4 linked regions of the Arabidopsis thaliana genome follow. The protein of the gene in region 1 binds, or shares a complex with, the protein of each later gene. Each region holds a gene or a part of one and is shown in the gene's direction. Other genes may lie near its edges.

Region 1 (6,254 bases):
ATTGTATCTGTATTCCATGGATGCAGGATCCTTGCTTTGGTGCCTATTCGAGTATCACAGATCTAATGTTTGGTTTTGATGAGACAATTCTCCAGTCAGCTTTTGGGGTATGTCTTAATCTGCCGATGAATAAGTTACGAATTGTCTATATCTTACTTGGGAAGCAAGATAGGAATTGTGTATATCTTACTTCCCAACTTACTCTAGTAGAGGATATTTTGGGTTGTATTAAGTGATATATTAAATTCAATGGTTTTAATTAGGTTCCTGAGGGGATTATAGAGCTGATGAGGAACCGTACGAAGCCACCATTGATCGTGAGTGAGACGCTTTGCACACCAGGTGTGGCCAACACTTGGCAGCTCCAACCGCGATTACTAAAGCTCTTTGCTGGAAGTGCAGACTTGGTGGATAACAAGAAGAAGAAAGAGAAGAAAGAGAAGAAGGAGAAGGTGAAGAAAGCGAAGACATTCAATGTTTTCGAATCTGAACCGGATTTCGAGAGCCCCTACGGTCGTACTATAACGATTAACAGGAAGGATCTGAAAGTTTTAAAAGGCTCAATGGTTGGAGTTTCCATGGTGAATCTCACTCAAGGATCGATGATGGGACCGCACTGGAATCCATGGGCTTGCGAGATTTCGATTGTATTGAAAGGAGCAGGAATGGTTAGGGTTCTTAGGTCTTCGATATCATCAAACACATCATCAGAGTGTAAGAACGTGAGGTTTAAAGTAGAGGAAGGAGATATTTTCGCAGTTCCACGGTTACATCCAATGGCTCAAATGTCTTTCAACAATGACTCGTTAGTGTTCGTTGGGTTTACTACTTCAGCTAAGAATAACGAGCCGCAGTTCTTAGCCGGGGAGGACTCGGCTTTGCGGATGCTTGACCGGCAAGTATTGGCTGCATCGCTTAATGTGAGTAGTGTGACGATTGATGGATTGTTGGGAGCTCAGAAGGAAGCTGTTATCTTGGAATGTCATTCTTGTGCGGAAGGAGAGATAGAGAAGCTTAAGGTGGAGATAGAGAGGAAGAAAATAGATGATGAGAGGAAGAGGAGACATGATGAAAGGAAGAAAGAAGAAGAAGAGGCGAAGAGAGAAGAGGAAGAGAGGAGGAAACGTGAAGAAGAAGAAGAGAAGAAGCGGTGGCCACCTCAACAACCACCACAAGAAGAAGAACTTAGGGAACGGCAACTACCGATGGAGAAAGAATGGGAAATGGAAGGTGAAGAGGAGAGTTAAGCCGGAGGAGTAAAAGAGAAGGCCAACGTACGTCAAGAGTGTGTTTGGTTTGTTGTTAGTGGTTAGAACTTTGGTTCTGACCTCTCTTGTAACTTTTTTTTTCCATAGTCTTGTTTATTTGTTAATGTACTTTTGCATTGTTTTTGTTGTTGCCATGTTTAAAGTTGTATTGTGTTTGTATAATGTTTTGTTTTGTTTAAATCTTTGTAGATGGTAAATGAGAAATAAGTAAATATTTCCGAGAGACTGTTGAGTGACGACGTTACTTCTTGTTATTGATAACTCTGTGGTTTATTATACACTTGTAGTAGTAGTCGTACTTGCTAACTTATGTCATTTGGTTTACAATTGTATAATGTATTTGTAACCCTCTTGCTATAGCTTCGGCATATTAAAGTTTTGAATGGTGATAACGGAGGAGTCGTAGATAATGCAATCAACTTCCCATGCTCTGTTCTCTTGTTGTTGCAAGAGATATTGGAATAAAAGGCAAATTTATCTCAAACACAGATTGGGCCATATCTTGAAAAGGCAAATTCATAAAACTCTCAAAAAGTAGATTTATCCCAAACACGAATTGGGCCAACTATTGGACCGGATGCGCTGAATAATGGGCCTTATCAGATTTGGACCGGCCTGTTTTTATATGACATTTACAAAAATACCCTCACAGGAGGTCCCGTGTTGGCTATAAAAAAATAGAATAATCCGTAATTGCCCTAAAATAGTTTGGTTTCTGCATCCACCCCTTTCTTCGAATCTCGACGGCTGAAACAGATTCTAAATTTATCTCCGGTGAGAAAGAGATAGAGAGCGTTGATTCCGGCGAAAAGATGTCTGAATTCGAAGATCACGAGGGAAACGGTACGGTTGCTGACGCGATTTACGACGAAGAGAATGGTGGCCGCGACGGCGAAATCGAGGATCAATTGGACTCGAAACCCAAGGTAATTTCCCCCCTGATTATCTTCAATCTCCTAGCTTATAGTTGGAGTTTCGAATCTATATTTCCTAGCAATTGGATTGAATTGAGAATCGAATTATGAGATGATTAGTTTTAAAGCTGCTTCTGTTTCATTGATTCTTAAACTGTAATTGATGAGGTTTTGGGTGTGTTTACATGTGCAGAGAGAATCGCGTGACCATGAAAGAGAGACATCAAGAAGTAAAGATAGAGAAAGAGAGAAGGGTCGTGATAAGGACAGAGAAAGAGACTCTGAAGTCTCTCGCCGAAGCAGGGATAGAGATGGAGAGAAAAGCAAGGAGAGGAGTAGAGACAAAGACAGAGATCATCGTGAGCGTCATCACAGAAGTAGTCGTCACAGGGATCATAGCAGGGAGCGTGGTGAAAGAAGAGAACGTGGTGGTAGGGATGATGATGATTACCGTCGAAGCCGTGATCGTGACCATGATAGGTAGACTGTTCTTGAATTGAATTATACATTTTCAATTTAGATTGAATCCTTTTTGATTTTATGGAAGGTACTGATTTGGCTTATTTTTTATTCTTCTAGGCGGAGAGATGATAGAGGAGGAAGACGCAGTCGTCGATCTCGATCTCGTTCAAAGGATAGATCTGAGCGCAGAACAAGGTCACGATCTCCATCGAAAAGGTAGCATTTTTTTCTCATTGGATTACTTACTCTTCTATGAAGTAATTGCTTCAATCTAAGAAAGTTTCTAACCTCACTCAATATATGTTGTTGCAGTAAGCAGCGAGTCAGTGGATTCGATATGGCACCTCCAGCCTCTGCAATGTTAGCTGCTGGTGCTGCTGTTACAGGTATATCTCTTTAATTTAGCACCTTCTCATTAGCATAATGTAGAATTCATACCTAATACACGTACTGGGATTGATAAAATCTGTTTCTCCTGAATAACTACAAAAACATAGGCTGTTTTCTTTCTTTTTTTACTTGGGACATAACGCTAGAACTGAGAGCTTTTGGTTGTTTGGTGGTCTTTGTGTCTCTTGTTTGCTTTTCTGTTTTGGTAAGGCAACACTGGGTGTGGGCTGGTTAGCTCTTATATACAAGGAAGAATTACTGCGTATGGGTATTGCTCATCCTCAGTACATATCACTGGTTTTGTTAGTCTTGCAAAAATTTTCCATGCAGACTTAAACCTCTTGATGTCACCAATACATTTCCAGGGATGGTAAACTAGGTTTTCTCATATGTAATTTTCTTATGTATTAACCTGTTTTTCTTTTGTAGGCCAAGTTCCTCCCGCTCCACCAACTCTTCCTGGGGCTGGAATGTTTCCCAACATGTTTCCATTGCCGACTGGACAGGTCTGTGGTCTTTCCCTTTTAATATTTTCTTAATTGATGTCTTTCTTGAACTAAGTCGTCTATGTCCTACAGTCATTTGGGGGACTCTCTATGATGCCAATTCAGGCTATGACACAGCAGGTTAGATTTTATTTATCATGGATATACGCAAGATACTATGTATTTCTCTGTTCTAATTTAATCCTTATTTACTTTGTGTCTTCAGGCAACTAGACATGCTCGCAGAGTCTATGTCGGTGGGCTTTCCCCTACGGCAAATGAACAGGTTATTATCCACTTTCTTTTTTCATTTTCTCCCACTGAAATATGTTTCAGCAAATAATGATACTAACATTGATTTATTATTTTGTATTTGCAGTCTGTGGCTACATTTTTTAGTCAAGTTATGGCTGCTGTTGGTGGAAACACTGCTGGTCCAGGTACATAATCCTGGTGCAGATGCTAGAGTGTCTATTATGATACTTGGATTAATCTTTTTTTATAAATCTTTTTTCTTACTCGCAGGTGATGCAGTTGTTAATGTCTACATAAACCACGAGAAGAAGTTTGCTTTTGTGGAGATGCGATCTGTTGAAGAGGCAAGTAACGCTATGTCTTTGGATGGGATTATATTTGAGGTATGTTTTAATGTTTACCGCACTACCAAATATTTGGTTGAGTTTTAGTACTGGCATTTCTTTGGTATATAGGTTACCCAACTGAATGCTTATCTTTCTTTTTCTTTTTTTCTTTTCCAGGGAGCTCCGGTGAAGGTGAGGAGACCTAGTGACTATAACCCATCTCTAGCTGCGACTCTTGGTCCAAGCCAGCCCAGTCCCCATCTAAACTTAGCTGCTGTTGGTCTGACTCCAGGTGCTTCTGGTGGGCTTGAGGGACCAGATCGTATTTTTGTTGGTGGACTTCCATATTACTTCACGGAATCACAAGTGAGGGAGTTGTTGGAGTCCTTTGGAGGCCTCAAGGGCTTTGATCTTGTAAAAGATCGAGAAACAGGGAACTCTAAAGGATATGCCTTTTGTGTGTACCAAGATCTTTCTGTTACAGATATCGCGTGCGCTGCCCTAAATGGTATCAAGATGGGAGATAAGACTCTTACAGTGAGACGTGCCAACCAGGGAACAATGCTACAAAAGCCTGAACAAGAGAACGTATTATTGCATGCACAGCAGCAAATAGCTTTTCAGGTAATTTTTTTTCTTCTTAATAATATTGGAAGAAAACAAAATGAGCTTGCAAAACGTGTTGAGACCTAACTTGAATATTTCCATTTATAAGATTAAAAGACTGATTGATGGTTTTATCTTTTGCAGAGGGTTATGTTACAGCCTGGTGCAGTGGCAACCACTGTGGTGTGTCTGACTCAAGTTGTTACTGAGGATGAGCTTAGAGATGATGAGGAGTATGGAGATATAATGGAAGACATGAGACAGGAAGGCGGAAAGTTTGGTAAGAGACCTCTTAATTGCGCAATATGGTCTATTTTGAAATATAAGATTAAAAGCATATTGATCTGTCTCTCTGTTTTCTTGGTTGTGCTGTTTTACAGCCTTTTGCTATAAAGAATCAGCCCTAACATACACAGACAGGAGACTGCATAAACCTCCTAATCTATTTATCACCAATGGCCACTATTTCTTAAAAGAAAAAACTGACTTGTTTTTGTCTGTGTTTTCTTGTCTTGTATTCGAAATGTTTTGTTCTTTAACTCTTAAAATGCAGGTGCTTTGACCAATGTTGTGATTCCGCGTCCAAGCCCCAATGGTGAGCCAGTGGCAGGCCTTGGCAAGGTAAACTTATCTCTCTCTCTTTCTCTCTACTTCTTGTATATTTCTATTTAGTCGTAATCTGACTGTCTGATATATTTAATGTGCAGGTGTTTTTGAAGTATGCCGATACAGATGGCTCGACTAGGGCAAGATTCGGGATGAATGGTAGGAAATTTGGAGGAAATGAAGTCGTTGCAGTGTATTACCCTGAAGACAAGTTTGAACAGGGTGATTATGGAGCCTGATCACTTCTTTGTTTGCTTTCTATTACTTAAAAGTTAAGTACTTTGCTTCAGTTTCAAGACCCTTTTGCGTGATTGTAAGAGTATGAGATTATCGACACGTTGCTTATTATAACGTTTTTATCTCATATCTTTGGTCTATTTCTTAAATATTTATCTCAAAAATTATTCACAGAATAACATCATGAGTCCCTCGTAAAACATCATTCGTCTCTCGTAAATGTGACATATGTTCTAAATCAACACAAGAAGTTGAGTACTCTCTCTATTGAAATATTCAAGTAGTTTGGTTCTCTTCTGATAGAAGAAAAAAGAAAGAAAAAGAAGCAAACTTGTAAAACCCAAAAATCTCTGTTAAGCCACTAAAACCCTAAAGGCGTCTCCTTTTCTCGCCACCACTCTCCACAATACCCATTTCTGCAAAATGGCTTCTTCTCGTATTTCTCTCCGCCTTGTTCGCCGATTTGCCTCAGCCGCCGCTGACGGTACGACCACCGCTCCCTCTTCAGGCAAAATCTCTGTCTCCAAAGCTAAGTCCACTCTCCGGAAAGAACACGATCCCGACAAAGCTCTTAAGATCTACGCCAATGTCTCCGATCACTCAGCCTCTCCTGTTTCATCTCGCTACGCCCAAGAGCTCACTGTTCGTCGCCTCGCCAAGTGTCGCCGTTTCTCAGACATCGAAACCCTAATTGAATCCCACAAA
Region 2 (6,405 bases), on another chromosome or scaffold:
CGCTTGAAGCTTGTGTTCCTCGTTGTTTAAAATGAGGTTTAATCAAACCCGCACATTAATAAAGATACAAACTTATCATAGTAGTATGAGTTGTTTCTGTTTTCGTATTACATCTGATTTGATAAGCTCTTTTAGAAAAGATACATATGTAATTGCATGAGAATCTTTAACTTCTTTAAGTACTGGAATAGAACAAGCAGTGGCTGTTTAAGGTAGTTTAATATTGAGAGTAGCGTTTCTTATACAATGCTTACATTATTAGCGGCTGTTGATGATTGTTTTGTTGATTTGCAGCAGCCCTGAATTTTTGTGTTAACACGTGAGTTTGTTTATTTTTCATGTAAGACAGAATGCCTGTAATTCTTGGTGATAAGGATTCAATCGACACATGGTTAGATGATCCCTCGACAACGAAACTGCAGCCATTACTTTCACCATATGAAAAATCGGATTTGGTATGCAATTGCTTACTTCCTCGCATATAAGAGTGGTCTTTCCTTTTTCATTTACTTGAGATTGAAGTTTGAACTTTCAGGTATGGTATCCAGTAACCTCTGCAATTGGTAAACCAACGTTTGATGGACCAGAGTGTATTCAACAGGTACGGTTAACATCTTTCCCTTTCTTAGTAGTGTACAACTCAAATCTCAAGTTTGATCTCAAGTCGCATTAAACATATTGTCAGGATCACTATGTATTTGTACAGTCTGTATGCTTATTGTCATTTCAAATAAGGATTATGCCACCTGCAGATACCGCTAAAGACTTCACAAAATAGCTTGATCTCGAAGTTTTTCTCAACAAAGCAGCCCAAAACAGATGAAGGAGACAAAGAAACCAAATCAACAGATGCAAATATCATAGTTGATTTGAAAAAGGAACCTACGGCTGAAAAGGACACGTTTTCTGACAGCATTAAGAAAATTGAAGAACTAGACGGGGAGAAAGATATGTCGAATGTAGCCAAAAATCTGGAGTTTCAAGAGATTGTGAAAGCAGAACCATTTGTTGAAGATAACTCAGCAGTTGCGTCACTTCCTGAACCTGTAAAGAATGATGTTCAGGAGGGTACAAAGGAAGAAGGCAAATCCCTAAAGACTGGTCTTACTAAAGAAACAGGTGAGAGCAGTGCCAGTATACCGGCTGAGTCCTACATCCTTGATCTCCAAAGAATCTCAAAAGAAGAACCCGAGACTCAAAGCCATCATTTCTTTACTGCAGATGAGAGATTGAATCAGCTGCATGAGGCTGTCGAAGATATTCCAGGAAATGAAAACCAGAAGACAGTTTTAACTAGCCCGACGACGAAGGAAGGTGGCTTAGTGTTTAGCGAAAAGAGTGGGACAAAGCGAGACTATGAGGTATTCTCAGCTCAAGAAAAGCCACAGAAACACTATGAGAGGTTGCAAAATGTTAAAAGCAGTGGGAAACAAGGAAAGATGCATGGAATGGGGAAATCTAACATCAAGAAATCTAAGGAGACGCAGTCTACATTACATTTCTTTTTCGATGAGAAATAGTTTTGAGTCTACATAACATCTATGAGGACCATGTTGGCCTACTTTTGTTGTAGATAATGTTAGATAAGACCATCGTTTTGGGAATGTTGCTTGTATTGTATGTGTAGTGTTTGATCTTTGATCTAAGGTAATATTATTATGAATGAATTGGGTTTTTAATGTCCTTGGTGGATGGTAAAAATTTGTGAACCAGGTTTCGATAATCAAACCCGGTCGCTAAACGATTTTATCGGTTTAAATTAGATCCGGTTTCTAAATTAAACATCGAATTCTAATTTCCCCTGACCAGAACCACCAACGCTTTGAAATCGAAACAGACACAGATATCATCAGAACGAAGAACTTCAGCCAAAATCTGATTTTTCTCTGTTTCACGACAAGAAATCGAATTAACGAAATCTAATGAAACCTTCAAAATCGCATCACAAGGAGAAAACCGCTCGTCGGAGGTCAGAAATCTTCATTTTCCTCTCTCCCCTTTTCTTCAAAAGCTAGGGTTTTTACACAAAAACATCAAAACTCGTCACTTTTCCTTCACAGAGAGGAGAAACTAGAGGAATCCGATAATCCAAAATACAGAGATCGTGCTAAAGAAAGAAGAGAGAATCAAAATCCTGATTATGATCCATCAGAGCTTAGTTCTTTCCATGCCGTTGCTCCTCCCGGAGCTGTCGATATCCGGTAGCACTTGTCTTTCCTCGATTACTTCATTATCTTTCTAAATTCTAATTGGGTTTCTCTAAATTTCTGTTGCTGTGTACTTTTTTTTGTTGTAGTGCTGCTGATGCACTTAAGATATCTATTGAGAACAGCAAATATCTTGGAGGTTTGTGTTAGGTTTACAAATTTATTCAAAATGTTTTTTTTTTGAGGTGCTTATGTTGTTTTTATGATATGGTTTAGGTGATGTTGAACATACCCATTTAGTTAAGGGTTTGGATTATGCTTTGTTGAATAAAGTACGAAGCGAAATCGTTAAGAAACCTGATGGTGAAGATGGTGATGGTGGGAAGACTAGGTAGATTTGGTTATACTTGGTTTATTGACTCATTTGGCTTCTTTGATTCAAGTGCTAATTTTACTATATTAACAGTGCGCCTAAGGAAGATCAGCGAGTTACTTTCCGTACCATAGCTGCAAAGGTATGCAATTTTGTTCTGAACTTTGCAGATGAGGAGCAAGTTTTGGGATGTAGTTAACGCGCTTGATGTTTTTTGTTTCTCTTGTCTTTGATCTGTTTCAGTCAGTTTACCAGTGGATTGTTAAGCCTCAGACTATCATCAAGTCTAATGAGATGTTTCTTCCCGGTAGAATGACATTTGTCTATGATATGGTATTGCTTGTTAACTCTTTTTCAGGAAGATTCAATCTTATTACATGTTCTTATGTCGTTGTTTGTCTTAGGAAGTAGTCATACATGTGTATTCTGCTTCAACGATTCTTCTTCGAGTATTAGTTAATATTTAGTTAAATCTTCGCTTCTAGTTTAAATACATGTCTCAGGAAAATTTTAAGAAGGTAGCTTAAGCTGTTTTGCATTACCTTGTTAGCGATTTATTCACGATTTAATCTATTTGTTAGAAACCTTATACGCAGAATTGGTTGTAAAGGTTTTTTAGTTCGATTAACGTGTCTGCTCTTCTTGAAGAAGCATATTCTTTTTCTCTTGCAGATAGAGACACCATACGACAAGAAAAGTCAGTTGAATATACTATTGATATTTGGTAGTGTTACGTATGAAGTTTCCTTTGAGATACTTAGTCTCAGCTAAGCTGCTAGGCTAAGCTTATAGTATGGGTTTAGTCTGCCCTTTGAAAGCCTCCCTGTTGATGTATATTAATTTTATTCCCTTTTGTTTTTAATTCTATTTGTTGCTTTTCAGGAAGGTGGCTATACCCATGACATACCGACCACGTTATATAGGAGTAAAGCTGACTGCCCGGTGCCCGAGGTATGTATACTTAGAGTCCTTGTTGTAATAGTCTTCTTGATCCTGGAAAAATCTTTAGACTGTAAGCAGTGATGTGACATGATCGTTTTGATTCTAATGAAAATAAGCCCACTCTGCCTGTCTCTGCAACCTATTTTCTTTTACAGTGTTGATGTATTCAATACAGCTAATATCGATTATATAAGTCATTAGTTTTGGTAGAAGCATAGATTTTCTTTAAGTAATTATAAAAATCTTTTTAAACTAAATTCAACTTTCTTTCTACTAATCTGGAACCAAAATTAACGTTGCTTAATATGTTTGTTTACTGAACATAATAAAAATTTATAATTGAAATCACTGCTGCAATTTTTGCGAGAATTGTTTCATTTAACAGGCACTGTTTCTCTGTCCTATCTCCCCAACAGGAATTTGTCACAGTCAATGTTGATGGTTCTGTGCTAGATCGAATTGCTAAAATCATGTCATATCTTCGCCTTGGGTCGTCGGGGAAAGTTCTCAAGAAGAAAAAGAAAGAAAAAGATGGGAAAGGTATTTTGCATCTACTGGTGCATTTTTTTGTAAAGTTTAAGTATTAGCAGACCTGATTCACTTACACTGGTTAAATAAGTTCTCTGCTTTTCCCGAAATTTGTTAATTATCTGGTCTTACAGTTTGGAGCCAAGAATGTAAAGAGTGTACCTAGTCTTTGACCACAGTACTAGTAGTATCTACTGATGTCTGGTTGTGTTCTCGCTTATCAATTGTGAAGAAATTTAGTTGTATCATAAATATGTTGCTGCCGTCCCTTGATGGTTCTGTAAACTCTGTTGTTAGTAATTTTTATTATGCTAATGTGGTGCCAGTACATGTTGTAGTTCTTGTTTCACATCAGCATACAATTGGATACAAGTTGGCTGGTTTCTGATTCTTTAGCAAGATAATTTGCTAATTTCTATTCTATCATACGTTCATGCATTTTTTATATTATTTTGCCTTATTAATCACATCCACTGCAACTTTTCAAATGCAGGAAAGATGTCAACTATTGCTAATGATTATGATGAAGACGACAATAAATCTAAGATTGAGAATGGATCTTCTGTGAACATAAGTGACAGGGAAGTTTTACCTCCTCCTCCGCCATTACCACCTGGGATAAACCATCTGGATTTGAGTACGAAACAAGAAGAACCCCCTGTTGCCAGGACAGACGATGATGACATATTTGTTGGTGAAGGCGTCGATTACACGGTTCCTGGTAAAGATGTGACACAGAGTCCTATTTCTGAGGACATGGAAGAATCTCCCAGGGATAAGGAGAAAGTATCTTATTTCGATGAGCCTGCTTATGGTCCAGTGCAGGAGAAGGTACCTTATTTCGCTGAGCCTGCTTATGGTCCAGTGCAGCCATCTGCTGGTCAGGAATGGCAAGATATGGTCAGTTCACCCTAGCTAATCCTTGGTTGTATTTATTCTCAAATCTTGATCCTCGTCTGCAAATTTTGCGTCTTGGTATGTAGTTATTAGATGTCATTTATTCCCATATTTAGGTTTTTTCTGGTGGTTGTGTGTTTTTCCAGAGTGCATATGGTGCAATGCAAACTCAAGGACTGGCTCCTGGGTACCCCGGAGAGTGGCAGGAATACCAATATGCAGAGCAAACTGGGTATCAGGAGCAGTACCTTCAACCTGGAATGGAGGGTTACGAGGTCCAACCAGAAACCGATGTTTTACTAGATCCTCAACTCATGTCGCAGGAAGAGAAAGATAGGGGTTTGGGATCGGTTTTCAAGCGTGATGACCAAAGGCTTCAACAGTTGAGGGAGAGTGACGCAAGGGAGAAAGATCCAACTTTTGTATCCGAGAGTTATTCAGAGTGTTATCCAGGTTACCAAGAGTACAACCATGAGATTGTCGGTAGTGATGAAGAACCTGATTTGTCTAAAATGGACATGGGTGGAAAGGTATGCCCTGACTTAATTACATGTTCCTTGTTATTTATTGTGGAAGAGCAAAATTACAGTATCTGGTTGTTGAATGTACATGGAACAGGCAAAGGGTGGTTTACATCGATGGGACTTTGAGACAGAAGAGGAATGGGAAAAATATAATGAGCAGAAGGAAGCGATGCCAAAAGCGGCGTTCCAATTCGGGGTAAAGATGCAAGATGGTCGAAAGACAAGGAAGCAGAACCGTGACCGTGACCAGAAGCTCAATAATGAACTTCACCAGATCAATAAGATACTTACGAGAAAGAAGATGGAGAAGGAGGGTGGGGATGTTGCTTCTTTGGATGCCGCCGAGGCACAAACTCCTAAGAGATCCAAGCATTGATTTGTCTCTTGTCTACTCCAGTCATTCTCTCGTAATCTATTTTGTATCTTCAAGTCTGTTTAGGTTTTTGGTACCTTGAGTTCAAATTCTTAATTTAGAAAAGATTTTACGTCCAAATTTTGAAATGATAGCATTCTTATTTCCTAATTACCCATTAAACACGAAGCAGTTTTGGGAGTTGGGACAGCCTTAGGTTTTAGGTTTAGCATCACCAAAAATGAGACGCTTCAGTAACCAACCCAACAAGACAAGCAAAAAACTAGAAAAATCATAAAACCCTAATCAGAAAAATGGCCACAGATTCCATGAATGCAGCCACCGTCAATGACTCCGACCGTTTCATCTTCTCCACACCTCTCTCCGCTCGTGGTTCAACCAAACGTGACGCCATCTCCGTCGAGGATCTTGGCCAATACACTCTTCTCAAACTCCATTCAAATCCGGTTTCACAAACTACATAGATCTTGGCCAATACAACGACGAAGATGACGATGTAAGAATCCTCTGTTTCACACCAATCTCCATAGAAAAGGGACAGTCCTCTGTTTGACCAATACAACGACGAAGACGCTCTTTCGACTGCGAGATATGTGTTGAACGAAAACCAAGGATTGAATC
Region 3 (5,287 bases), 4.3 Mb from region 1:
CTCTTTTTTTTCTTTTCAGGTAGATTCTTTTTCAAGTGTGTAGTTAGTATAAAAAGTGAGAGTGAGAATTGGTGTTTATATTGGCCGGAGGAGAGATAACGGATATGTGGGGAGCACACGGAGTTTTTGTCTCTGTGAATGACACGTGTATAGTACATAGCGAAGCAATCCCACGATGTTCCACTCGCTGTCTGACGTGTGTCCTTTGACCCTTGTAAAGAGACTTTTGACTCTTCACTCGTTAACCTTTATGAGTTCTTTAAATTCTATCGAGTGTGTGCCTGTGTGGTTGGCTGGCTGCTGTTGTTACAATCGTTTTTAAATTCCTATGAATAAACAAATTGTCATTAATTGTCACCCGTCTATAACATAATAGACATAAATATCTCTGTGAAATGATATTTTAAATACTCATGTAGTATTTGTATTGGAAGTAGATGTCCTAATATTTAACCAAAAATAATACTACAATATAGAAAAGCTTGATTTTTTAAAAAAATTAATCAGATTTGGTAATGGATAATTATCAATTTCGATGGACGGTTAAAAATGAGTCATAAATGCATATGATGAACAAAATTATTCAGTTTAAACAAACTATAACCAAAAACATGTAAATGGACCAGGACAGGACTAAGCGAAGGATTAGACCAATACAAAATAGCAAGTTATCTTGAATCCCAATAATTCCCACAAAATATCTCAATCTCAATAATAGCTATATTGTATTGACAAAAAAAAGGTATAAAAAATCTTCACAATAAGATATGCATGAAATATATTCGCTGACAAAAATATCTCTCTCGTTACCTCTCGCTCTCACGTTATTGACATTTAGGAGAAAAGAAGACACAACAAAGAGGGAAAAAAAGAGTGGTAAGGTGAAGAAAACAACAAAATTGGCTTTAGTGGAAAATAGAAAGTAAAGCTTGAGAGTGACGTATGGGGCCAGTGAAGGCTGGTGGGGAAGGTAGGGACAGTGTTTCCGCGGCCGAACCACGGGTTTAGAGGATTTTGACGTCCCCACGCATTATCTTGTGGAACCCATCTTTCTGTTTTTGGAAAATCGTACGGACGTTCGTTTTTGAATTATTTGCTGAATCGGGTTGTTTGGGTTTCTACTCTGTTTTGGGATTCTTCAGTGGATTGGACTGGATCTTTTGTAGCTTTTTGTTGGTAGATTTGAGACGCCTCTATTTTATGAATATCTTAATAGCTTTTTGTTGCATATTCAAGCGAGATAAGAAGATAATTGAGGCTTTATGGCATATTTGAAAAGTCGAAACTCGTTCTCATTCCACGTGTGATGATATGTTCGTGGCCACATATCATTCGGCCTTGAAAGCAACTACTAAACTCTTAACATAAGTGAAGCAATCCAATGAAGAGGAAAACAATTTATTTAATTAATTGTAATATATAAATATACACATTTCTTTATAACAACAATTATTAAACTTACTAACAAACTCATATGTTTCATCGAATCCAAAACTTGACATGTGGGATCTTGAGAGTGTTAAGTTGCAAGACTTTTTAAAAACTTGTATGCATTATTCATTGTGTAGATGTTATGTGATACATGTTCTAGTTCTATTAATCAGTATATTCTAATCAAAATTAAAAAATCTAATATTTGTTTGTCTTCATAATCTGTTATTGTTTTGTTTTTTTAGAAAGCAGCTTCAATTTTGTTTACTTGTTGGGCTTCTTATAATTTGTTTAACATATAGGCCCAATACTCCTAAAAAGTAGACGTTCTCGACTTCTCGTCCTTCAGACAAAATAAGAAAGTCAAAATGTGTTCTGAAAAAAATATCTTTGAAACTAAAAAGAAAAGAAAATAAAATAAAAATCCAAATGATCTCTCTTGCCTTCTTTATCTAAATCGTACCTAACTCTGTTTTCAGTTTCACCTATCTCTCGACGCGAGCTTCTTCTTCTTCTAGGGCTTCCACGCGACTACGCCTGCCAAAATCATTCTACAGGTAAATTGATGCAGTTTATTCACTCTCTATATCGTCGTGGTTCTCATCTCCTTCTTCCTTCTTTTTTTTTTGGTTGGTGAAAAGTAGAACAAGAGAATTGGTCCATCTCGTTTTTTATAAGTTGAATCTCATCAGAGCCTTCTTTGTTTTTCTGGTATGAAAGATTCATGCTTTCGTGGATTGTTCTCGTTTTCTCTATCTTGTGAATGATATTCAGATCTAACTGTAGTTAGATTAGATCTGTTGCATTGTACTTTTGATTCTAATACTGTCTAGTTCAGTTCCTAGATTTAACTGATTTGGAGCTCGAATAGATGAGTTTCAAGTCCTAATTTACTGCAAAACAATTCGATTTAGTGTGAGGGCTCTAGTTTTTAGTGTTAAAAGTTTTCATCTTGGTGACAAATTAGTTGTGATATTCGTGTTTAAATTATCATTTAAGGAAGTCTCATGAATCTTTTTTACTATTGTGGTTGTCTATACAGGAAGCATGAAGCCAGTCTTCTGTGGGAACTTTGAGTATGATGCGCGCGAAGGTGACCTGGAACGACTATTCAGGAAATACGGCAAGGTTGAGAGGGTTGATATGAAAGCTGGTGAGCCTTTTTTTTCTTTCTTTCTTTCTTCTGCCTCTTACTACTCTGTCTTTGTGGTTAACCTGAATGAATTATAATAAGCAGTATTGTTATCCACTAAGTACAATGAAAAAGCGAAATTCAAATGCATTTCATGAAATCCACTCTCGTCTTCATTCCATCCACGAGAAGGCTCTGGTGGACTATCTCCCTTTGGAAGGAGTACTAAACATTGACCACATTCACCTGGCCACCTGATGCAGCCTGCTTGAACTTTGGAAAGTACTTCAGAGGAATAAGATTTTTAGAAAAAAAATTAGTGTAAAACCGCATTTTCTTTGACGCAGGATGTGTTTGATAATCTTGGGACGCCTATACTCACACCTGGCCATGAATGGACCATAGGGAAATCCATCTCTTATCCCTCAAAATCAGTCACTTTCCATCCGCATTAGCACTGCCATCTTAATTGCATTTCATTCCTCATCACTTTGCACACTTGGACATGCCTCTGCAATGGAGAAGGCTCTCTATTTTCATTCATATCCCCGTCTGACTTCCACATTTTCAGTTGTTCCTTGACATATTAATTCCATAATGCAAGGTCTGTAACTGCTTCACTGGTCATTTGGAGTTTTTTTAAGGTTCTAGGAATGTTCAAAATTTAATATGTTCTAGGAGTTAAGTTAGGCGTTGAAGGAGGGAGGACAGTGTTCGTGTATGTTGAAGGTTCTTAATCTGGTCCACTTCCTCACTGTTAATGTACTCAGATCTTTGCTTTTGGCTTTTTCTTTTTTCTCCAGGGTTTGCTTTTGTATACATGGAAGATGAAAGGGATGCGGAAGATGCCATCCGAGCACTTGACCGCTTTGAATTTGGGCGTAAGGGACGCAGACTTCGTGTTGAATGGACAAAGGTAGGATACTTACCCCAGGATTTATTTCTTTCCAGACTTAGTTATGAGGTTTGAAATACTGATAACATAAATGGTTCTGTGTATATAGAGTGAACGTGGAGGTGATAAAAGATCTGGTGGTGGTTCAAGGAGATCCTCATCCAGCATGAGACCTTCCAAGACTCTCTTTGTGATTAACTTTGATGCGGATAATACTAGGACCCGGGATCTAGAGAAACACTTTGAGCCGTATGGAAAGATCGTAAACGTTAGGATCAGGAGGAATTTTGCATTTATCCAGTACGAGGCACAAGAGGATGCCACCAGAGCATTGGATGCTTCAAATAACAGGTTTGTTCTGTCCATTTTAGTATCTAATCACTTTCCTTTCTTAGACTCACGTTTCATCTGTGTTTTCATTCAGTAAGCTGATGGATAAGGTGATCTCGGTGGAGTATGCTGTGAAGGATGATGATGCTAGAGGAAATGGACACAGTCCTGAAAGACGCCGTGATAGGTCACCTGAAAGGAGAAGGCGATCACCTAGTCCTTACAAAAGAGAAAGAGGAAGCCCTGATTATGGCCGAGGAGCTAGTCCTGTTGCTGCCTACAGAAAGGAAAGGACCAGTCCTGACTATGGTCGAAGACGTAGCCCAAGTCCTTACAAGAAATCAAGACGTGGCAGTCCCGAGTATGGTCGTGACCGCAGAGGCAATGATAGCCCTCGCAGGAGGGAGAGAGTCGCAAGCCCTACTAAGTACAGCCGCAGTCCCAACAACAAGAGAGAGAGGATGAGCCCTAATCACAGCCCGTTCAAGAAGGAGAGTCCGAGAAATGGGGTTGGTGAAGTTGAAAGTCCCATTGAAAGGAGAGAGAGATCGAGGTCTAGCCCCGAGAATGGCCAAGTTGAAAGCCCTGGGTCAATAGGAAGAAGAGACAGTGATGGTGGGTATGATGGTGCAGAGAGCCCAATGCAGAAGAGGTTAGATTCTGAAATAGGTCGATACTTGTTTATATATTATTGATGACATGAATCGTAAACCATTTCTCTTGTTGTTGCAGCCGGTCTCCTCGTTCGCCACCAGCTGACGAGTGATAAGAGTGGATCCACAATCTCTATCAAAGTAGGATGTTGTAACTGTTTGTAGTCAACAACGCTATGTCGTCGTGATTAGTTTTTGTCGTTTGGTTTTTGATAGATTCGAACTCGGATCACTTTTATTGTCGGATTGAAAAACTTATGTCAAGTTACTACATTTCCGTTTTTTTTTATCACCTCTCAGTTTGAACCCCAATCATGTAATGCTTTCCCGTGACAATAAGATGCGAACCTCAAAACATCTTGCATCGAAACACCTTGAGAGTGACAAAATCGAACGCATCGTTAAGTAACTTAAATGGTACGCCGAAATTATGGAAGGCAAGAACGGTTCTATTGACTTAATTGGGTCTAAAAACTACTCTAAACGCCTCTTGTCAACGTTCGAACTAGTCCCTAACCTTTGACTCAAATATAAATATTGGCTACAAATAGACTTATAGTTCTGCCTACATTGGTCGTCTGCTTTAGTATATTTGTTACCAAGTAAAATGCTGCTGTAGAGTTTAATGATCTCTTTGTCTACTGGGTTTCTCCAATTTTCTGATCGTTGGGATTCGTGCAAGTCGAGAGAGTCTACTTGGTTGAAACTTTCTGGGTTTTGATTTGAGTTGCCCATTGGATTTGAAGTTTTAGTCTTTTGTTGGTAAGTTTTACCCTTTGAGATATGCTCGTCTGATAGTATAGGGCTTTCGAGTGTTATGAAAAATTCGCCTTTTCGTCTTCTGAT
Region 4 (6,070 bases), on another chromosome or scaffold:
TGTCTAGTCGACGTCAAATCGATATTATGTTTCCAAATATTGATTGGTTACCAAAACTGATACGAGAATATTGAATCTCTATGGGCTATGTATGTATATCAGAGTCATGGCTAAGCCATGGGCACATTTTGTAAACACTAATGTTGTAGTTTCAACTTTCAATGGTCTAATTGCTGAACTTCGACATGTTTTTACCATGGCAGCAAAAGGTAGAAGTAGCTGATTACAGGAACAATGATGTCCTTTGAAATGAATGACCGGAAAAGTAAGTTCACATTGTGAGTTCTATAAATATTTTCTGCTATTGGAAGACATACCTGTTACTTAGTTATACTTAATTCTTCTTTTGCTTATCACGTTCTTGAGTTAGTAGATCATTCAATGTCATGTTGTTGTTCGGAACCCCATTTAGTTTCAGTATATCTTATTACCAGGTTACGAAGTTACTCATGCTGTACTTGGATATACTTAAACGTTTCTTATGTGATTTGAAACAGAAATCGGGTTAGGCCTGACAGGATTTGGCGTATTCTTCTCGTTTTTGGGAATAGTCTTCGTCTTTGATAAGGGATTACTTGCCATGGGAAATGTAAGTATCTCATGTATCTTTGTTTCTATACTTTGACCACTATTATTGCATACACGTACAGAACTAGTATGAGAGCTTGTTTCTTTTCATATTTTCTCAGATTCTTTTCATCTCGGGGGTTAGTCTAACCATTGGCTTCAAGTCTACCATGCAGTTCTTCATGAAGCGTCAAAATTATAAGGTTTGTTTCTGTCTTTGTCTACATTATCAATAGCTTGGGCCAGTCTCTGCTGGATTTTTACAGATTTCTACTTAATGTCATCTATGTGTGTTCATTTGGCTTTATATGTTATCCACTCAGGGAACCATCTCTTTTGGCGTCGGTTTCTTCTTTGTTATCATCGGGTGGCCTATCTTGGGAATGATGTTGGAGACCTATGGCTTTTTCGTACTCTTCAGGTACTTTTGCCTATTTTCTTCTTCTTTACTGGTATTGCTTGAGGAAATGTAAACTGATACTAAAAACGTTTTGCTTTTGCAGTGGCTTCTGGCCTACCTTGGCAGTCTTTGCTCAGAAGATACCCGTTCTGGGTTGGATTATTCAGCAACCATATATTAGATCGGTATGTGTCCAATTGCAAACAACTATAGCAAACTTTGCATGAAATTCTTAGATCTCGAATACAACACATACAAAACTCATAATGACTCCCAGTTTTGCCTTTCCAAATTACAGTTGATAATTCTCTCTTTGTTTCTGATGATCTTGAGTTGCTAGGCCTTTTCTCAGTTTGGCTTAACTTTAATAGTAATTCTGTTGCATAGTCTGCCAATTGTTGGCTAATGCGATTACTTTACACTTTTTTTTTATGTGATGTGTAGTTCTTTGACAAGTACCGGGGCAAGCGAGTGCCGGTCTAGTCTTCCATCCCGAGCAGAGAGACGATTCACTGAGCTAGATGCAGCTGAACAGGCGATTAAAGTTTTTGGAAGAAGAAGTTTCGTGATCCTGTAGAAAACTAAAACCATAGGAGAAAGAAAATAGGAAGGAAAAGAACGTACAATTTGAAGCTGTGTGTCTATGTTTCAGGTGAAGTAGATGAATCTTCGTCCAGGTTGCAAATTGCAACAGAATGTTAAAAATGTAATGTTTTATTTTTGGGTTAGTTATAGGTTACACCTCAATTTTGGAAACTAATTAAAGAGAAACAATTGTTTCTATTCACAAAAACTTTTTGTAACCATTACGCATTACATAATTTTAATCATATTGTTATTAACTTAATGGTTCTATTTGACCAAAAACAAAAACTTAGAGGTTATTTGACAAACAGATTACTTAAAGAGGGACCGAAAAATAAAAACACAAAAGAACTGAGTGAATCAACTAAAGGGTAATTCCGGTATTTCAGGAAAGTTTTAAGGACGACCCCTACTAATGGATAAAGTAGAAACCCTAGTTTGAATTTTCACGGCCGACCTCTCTCTCTCATCTACTAAGCTCTCCTCCGAGTATTGTTGGCTTCAGACCAAATCTTCTCCGGCGCTGTAGCGTTTCCCCCGGTACGGATTCATTCACCTCTCTCTCTCTATCGCTCTCCCTCTCTCTATCTCTATCTATCTGTTGTTTTCTCTGAATTTGGTTTCCGTGTTCTTATGAATTCGATGGTTTGGTGTTTCAATTTCGTTAATTTCACTGATAATTGTTGGTCTTTTGGCTCTCTTGAGGTGAATATACTTCGCTATGGTCGTGGGGGTAGTTTCCTTGACTTCAATTAGCTTTTTTATGTCGAATGTTCTTGAGTTGTTTAAGGTGATTTTTGATTAAATTCAGAAGGTCTTATGTTTGTTAGAATCTGTCTTTTATTCATTGTCCTTACTGAGGAAATTTTTTTACTTGCATTGAAAAGAAACATAATTTACCAAGAGGTTCTATGTAACGATGATTTGTGGGTCGATCTGTATTTTAAATAGTCGTTAAAAGTAGAATTTTTGTTGTATGTTTGAAAGGAATAATGGTTTGAGTAAGGAAGAAGAACAAGGTAGATGCATGAGTCTATGTTACATGATGTCATGACACATGCTTTCTTTATGATAGATGGCAAGAGCTTGGAACATGAGCATTGCAATGGTTCATAGGGATATAGAGAGGGATTGGGGAGATCAATGTGGATATTGTTTTTATTATTAATGGAGATTCATGGGAACGATCTGGAGAAATATATATATTTCAATATTTTAAATAGCTTTTGGAGCATATTGGAGCAAATAAGCATTTGGAGCTTGTGGAGCACTGCTCTGACCCAGGATTGCTCTCACTTGGTTTGCTTCATATATATTTTGGTCTTACCATGTTTTCTTTTTCTTTTCTTATCATCGTCTCATTTTGATGCTGGGGCTATGTCGAAAGCTGTTTGAGTGGAGGTTCTTTGTCTATAGCAGTAAATTTTGATCCTTTATTTATTTCGTTTCCTTTTTATTCTCATGTGCAGTTTCCCCTTTTTAACCTTTGCAAACAATGAGTGGGCGATTTTCTCGGTCAATCTATGTTGGTAACTTGCCCGGTGACATTAGGGAACATGAGATTGAAGATATCTTTTACAAGGTCAGTTTTTGGTTATTTGTTTGATTCAGTTACGGGTCCTCTCTTGAATCGTTATCCCTATAAGACAGTGAAGATTCTTGAGCATCTTTTGTATTCATATTTAATGCTCTTGTTTGCAGTATGGCCGCATTGTCGATATTGAATTGAAGGTTCCACCTCGGCCTCCATGTTATTGCTTTGTTGAGGTAAGTGTATTCGCTTACATTACATGTTCCTAACCAACTTTAAATTTCGCTGAACCAAGCTCTGTTGAATGTTTGTAGTTTGAGCATTCTCGGGATGCTGAAGATGCCATCAAGGGCCGTGATGGCTATAATTTGGATGGCTGTCGCTTGAGGGTAATCAGTTACTTCCTTGCTATTTTTTCAGCAGACAATATGGGCTTATGCTTCACATATCCTTACAGCAGAGTCTAAACTTTTCTGGCTGTTTTACATTACCTTGTGATGTTTCTTTTTATTTTTCAATAGTTTCTAATCATTATGAATGCAGGTTGAGCTTGCACATGGTGGTCGAGGACAGTCTTCAAGTGATCGTCGTGGTGGCTACGGTGGTGGTGGCAGCGGCTATGGTGGTGGAGGTGGTGGTGGTGGATCAGCTCGGTTTGGCGTCTCACGACACTCTGAATTCCGAGGTTTGTGTTTCTTGCTAGAAGTTGGTATTATTAAAATTTGGTTTCACTTCACTTCTTCTGATTCTTGGATGGCTATTTTGCAGTTATTGTACGTGGGCTCCCATCATCTGCTTCATGGCAAGATTTGAAGGTCTGATGACACTTAATGTTTTGCTGCAACATTTTGGTTTCTACTCCCTAGTCTTGTTTTTCATATAAAATCCATTTTTTTCAGGATCATATGCGGAAAGCTGGTGATGTGTGCTTTGCTGAGGTGACTCGAGACAGTGATGGTACGTTAATTTACAGTTTCTGATGCATACTTACTTAGCAATATATTTACTTTTTCAGCTTTGAGCAGAGTTTTGTTTGGGATATTATACTTACGTTTTTCTCCCACAACATGACTATTTATAATAATATGATCAGGAACTTATGGTGTTGTCGACTACACCAATTATGATGACATGAAGTATGCAGTAAGTGAACTCTGTGCGTCTCTCTTACTGTATTGCATGCTATGGTTTGTATAATTACTGATGTTCAATAGTTGTGATTTCAGATAAGGAAACTTGATGACACAGAGTTCAGAAACCCCTGGGCTAGAGGTTTTATCCGGGTACCATTTCTCTATGCAGTCTCTTCTTTTTTCCCTCTTTGACCATAATTAACAGATATTAGTTATCTCTCAAGTCTCTCAACATTTTACTTCGTTTGATGCTTCATTCTCTATCTTCCCATTCGTAAAACATCTATGACTTTTGTAGTCTCAATTGGTTAGGCTAATTTAAAATCATGATCTCACAAGTTTGTATTCATCTTATGTCTGTGTTTTCTGCTCATATGCAGGTTAAGAAATATGAAAGCTCCCGATCAAGAAGCAGAAGCCCAAGCAGAAGCAGAAGCAGAAGCAGAAGTCGAAGTCGTAGCCGAGGCCGTGGTCGCAGCCATAGCCGCAGTCGCAGCCTTAGCAGGAGCAAGAGCCCAAGGAAGGATCTGAGGTACTACGTTTGTTATCACTGAACCTTTGTATATCTCCCATTTTCAATACCTAAAAATGGAGTTGTGTGTTTACCAATCTTTATTGCAGTAAATCACCAAGGCGATCCCTTTCCAGATCGATTTCAAAATCTAGATCGCCATCGCCCGACAAGAAGAAGAGTCCCCCCAGGCAAGTCTTCTGCCCTTCTTTTGTGTTCTTTCTCTCAACCATCATGATACTTTTATTCGTTCTTTTATTTCTCCTGTGATTATTGTGACATGTTGCTTTTTACCAATTCAGGGCAATGTCGAGATCAAAGTCCAGGTCCAGGTCCAGATCGAGGTCTCCGTCCAAATCTCCTCCCAAGGTATAGAACTAAGCTGCCTGCGTTTTAGCATCATTTTACCAAGTTATAGGCAAAACACCAAACAGACCAATCTAAAAAAATCTTTTTCTCAGGTTCGCGAAGGCAGTGTGTGATTTTGTTAAGCGGTGAAAATGGCCAAAAGAAAGAGTGCGAAAAATTCTCAAGTCAAGATCCATTCTCTGTGTTTTTTTTTTTGCTGTTTTCGGATAATTGACATTTTCTGCTGTTCTCTGCTTCTTTACTCACAAATGATCATCTTTATACTATTATGACCTGTTATGTTATGGATGTTTCCGTGACCATCACAATACCTCTGAGTTTTGTATTGTTAGTCCTGTTCTTGTTTAAACCCTATGAAGTCTTAGCGAACCTGGATCTCTCATCTAAATTATCAAATATTTAACTGATTTGTATGAAATGGGCATAATATTAAAGAAATCAAATTAAAGTTAAGATATTTGACATGGTTTATAGACGGTCAAATGAGTTGTTTACCTAACAAGGTTCTTCCACAAAGTCGACAAAATTTATATATTTGACATGATCTGTTTGTCGGCATCTTTTAGTATTCCATCACAAACAAAAGTTGAGAATTAGGATGAAGTGCGCATTTCCTTGCATAAGTAGGGATACAACTTCAACATCTTAGGTATAATGTTAAAACATTTTTGTACAAACTTTTAGCTAATATGTATCTTTACAAGAAATATCAGAAGAGAAAATATATCTATCTTAATACGTATTTTTGGATAAATAGTGGCCATATATATAAGGTCCCCAACTTAGAAACGAAACAAGATGTTATAAATTCTTATGTAGCCCGGACCGGCTAAGAGAAAAGTGGGATCATGTACCCATTTAAAAAAAAAGTTTATCTCTTATACTATATGTATAGATTTGGGCCTTTTGTATAATTTTTGAAAAATAGGGCTATAATTGCTTAAAGAAATCTGACTAAAAAATAGGACCCTATT

Evidence for each region.
Region 2: ATU2AF65A (region 1) and SMU2 share a complex: the UniProt entries of both Arabidopsis thaliana proteins name them as parts of the spliceosome.
Region 3: ATU2AF65A (region 1) and RS40 share a complex: the UniProt entries of both Arabidopsis thaliana proteins name them as parts of the spliceosome.
Region 4: ATU2AF65A (region 1) and SR34a share a complex: the UniProt entries of both Arabidopsis thaliana proteins name them as parts of the spliceosome.

Annotation. Positions count from the first base shown.
Region 1 is NC_003075.7:17,293,436-17,299,689, reverse strand, and holds ATU2AF65A (U2 snRNP auxilliary factor, large subunit, splicing factor), read left to right. Parts: upstream 1-1,961; 5' UTR 1,962-2,080; coding exon 2,081-2,194; intron 2,195-2,375; coding exon 2,376-2,662; intron 2,663-2,761; coding exon 2,762-2,860; intron 2,861-2,956; coding exon 2,957-3,030; intron 3,031-3,463; coding exon 3,464-3,540; intron 3,541-3,612; coding exon 3,613-3,660; intron 3,661-3,745; coding exon 3,746-3,805; intron 3,806-3,898; coding exon 3,899-3,959; intron 3,960-4,044; coding exon 4,045-4,157; intron 4,158-4,277; coding exon 4,278-4,724; intron 4,725-4,850; coding exon 4,851-4,986; coding exon of another isoform or gene 4,987-5,259; coding exon 5,260-5,327; intron 5,328-5,413; coding exon 5,414-5,551; 3' UTR 5,552-5,743; downstream 5,744-6,254. Other genes in the region: AT4G36700 (RmlC-like cupins superfamily protein), read left to right, coding at 27-107, 264-1,247; AT4G36680 (Tetratricopeptide repeat (TPR)-like superfamily protein), read left to right, coding at 5,973-6,254. UniProt on the Arabidopsis thaliana protein: Necessary for the splicing of pre-mRNA.
Region 2 is NC_003071.7:11,254,431-11,260,835, reverse strand, and holds SMU2 (RED family protein), read left to right. Parts: upstream 1-1,765; 5' UTR 1,766-1,922; coding exon 1,923-1,969; intron 1,970-2,060; coding exon 2,061-2,201; intron 2,202-2,296; coding exon 2,297-2,346; intron 2,347-2,423; coding exon 2,424-2,538; intron 2,539-2,613; coding exon 2,614-2,662; intron 2,663-2,763; coding exon 2,764-2,853; intron 2,854-3,402; coding exon 3,403-3,471; intron 3,472-3,878; coding exon 3,879-4,002; intron 4,003-4,483; coding exon 4,484-4,890; intron 4,891-5,033; coding exon 5,034-5,417; intron 5,418-5,505; coding exon 5,506-5,787; 3' UTR 5,788-5,904; downstream 5,905-6,405. Other genes in the region: AT2G26470 (embryonic stem cell-specific 5-hydroxymethylcytosine-binding protein), read left to right, coding at 346-455, 536-601, 753-1,520. UniProt on the Arabidopsis thaliana protein: Auxiliary spliceosomal protein involved in splicing of specific pre-mRNAs that affect multiple aspects of development.
Region 3 is NC_003075.7:13,022,690-13,027,976, forward strand, and holds RS40 (arginine/serine-rich splicing factor 35), read left to right. Parts: upstream 1-1,808; 5' UTR 1,809-1,988; intron 1,989-2,075; exon of another isoform or gene 2,076-2,142; intron 2,143-2,265; exon of another isoform or gene 2,266-2,473; 5' UTR 2,474-2,478; coding exon 2,479-2,584; exon of another isoform or gene 2,585-3,160; coding exon of another isoform or gene 3,161-3,167; exon of another isoform or gene 3,168-3,323; coding exon of another isoform or gene 3,324-3,366; coding exon 3,367-3,479; intron 3,480-3,567; coding exon 3,568-3,809; intron 3,810-3,882; coding exon 3,883-4,440; intron 4,441-4,520; coding exon 4,521-4,554; 3' UTR 4,555-4,751; downstream 4,752-5,287. Other genes in the region: AT4G25510 (uncharacterized protein), read right to left, coding at 4,754-4,814, 4,959-5,287. UniProt on the Arabidopsis thaliana protein: Required for constitutive and alternative pre-mRNA splicing. Involved in primary miRNA processing and pri-miRNA biogenesis. Binds both intronless and intron-containing pri-miRNAs.
Region 4 is NC_003074.8:18,329,621-18,335,690, forward strand, and holds SR34a (SER/ARG-rich protein 34A), read left to right. Parts: upstream 1-1,888; 5' UTR 1,889-2,092; exon of another isoform or gene 2,093-3,021; 5' UTR 3,022-3,047; coding exon 3,048-3,134; intron 3,135-3,253; coding exon 3,254-3,319; intron 3,320-3,397; coding exon 3,398-3,472; intron 3,473-3,626; coding exon 3,627-3,768; intron 3,769-3,851; coding exon 3,852-3,898; intron 3,899-3,982; coding exon 3,983-4,040; intron 4,041-4,176; coding exon 4,177-4,226; intron 4,227-4,309; coding exon 4,310-4,366; intron 4,367-4,596; coding exon 4,597-4,748; intron 4,749-4,837; coding exon 4,838-4,918; coding exon of another isoform or gene 4,919-4,997; exon of another isoform or gene 4,998-5,029; coding exon 5,030-5,096; intron 5,097-5,188; coding exon 5,189-5,209; 3' UTR 5,210-5,534; downstream 5,535-6,070. Other genes in the region: AT3G49420 (Got1/Sft2-like vescicle transport protein family), read left to right, coding at 235-265, 498-589, 690-770, 891-988, 1,071-1,152, 1,412-1,450. UniProt on the Arabidopsis thaliana protein: Probably involved in intron recognition and spliceosome assembly.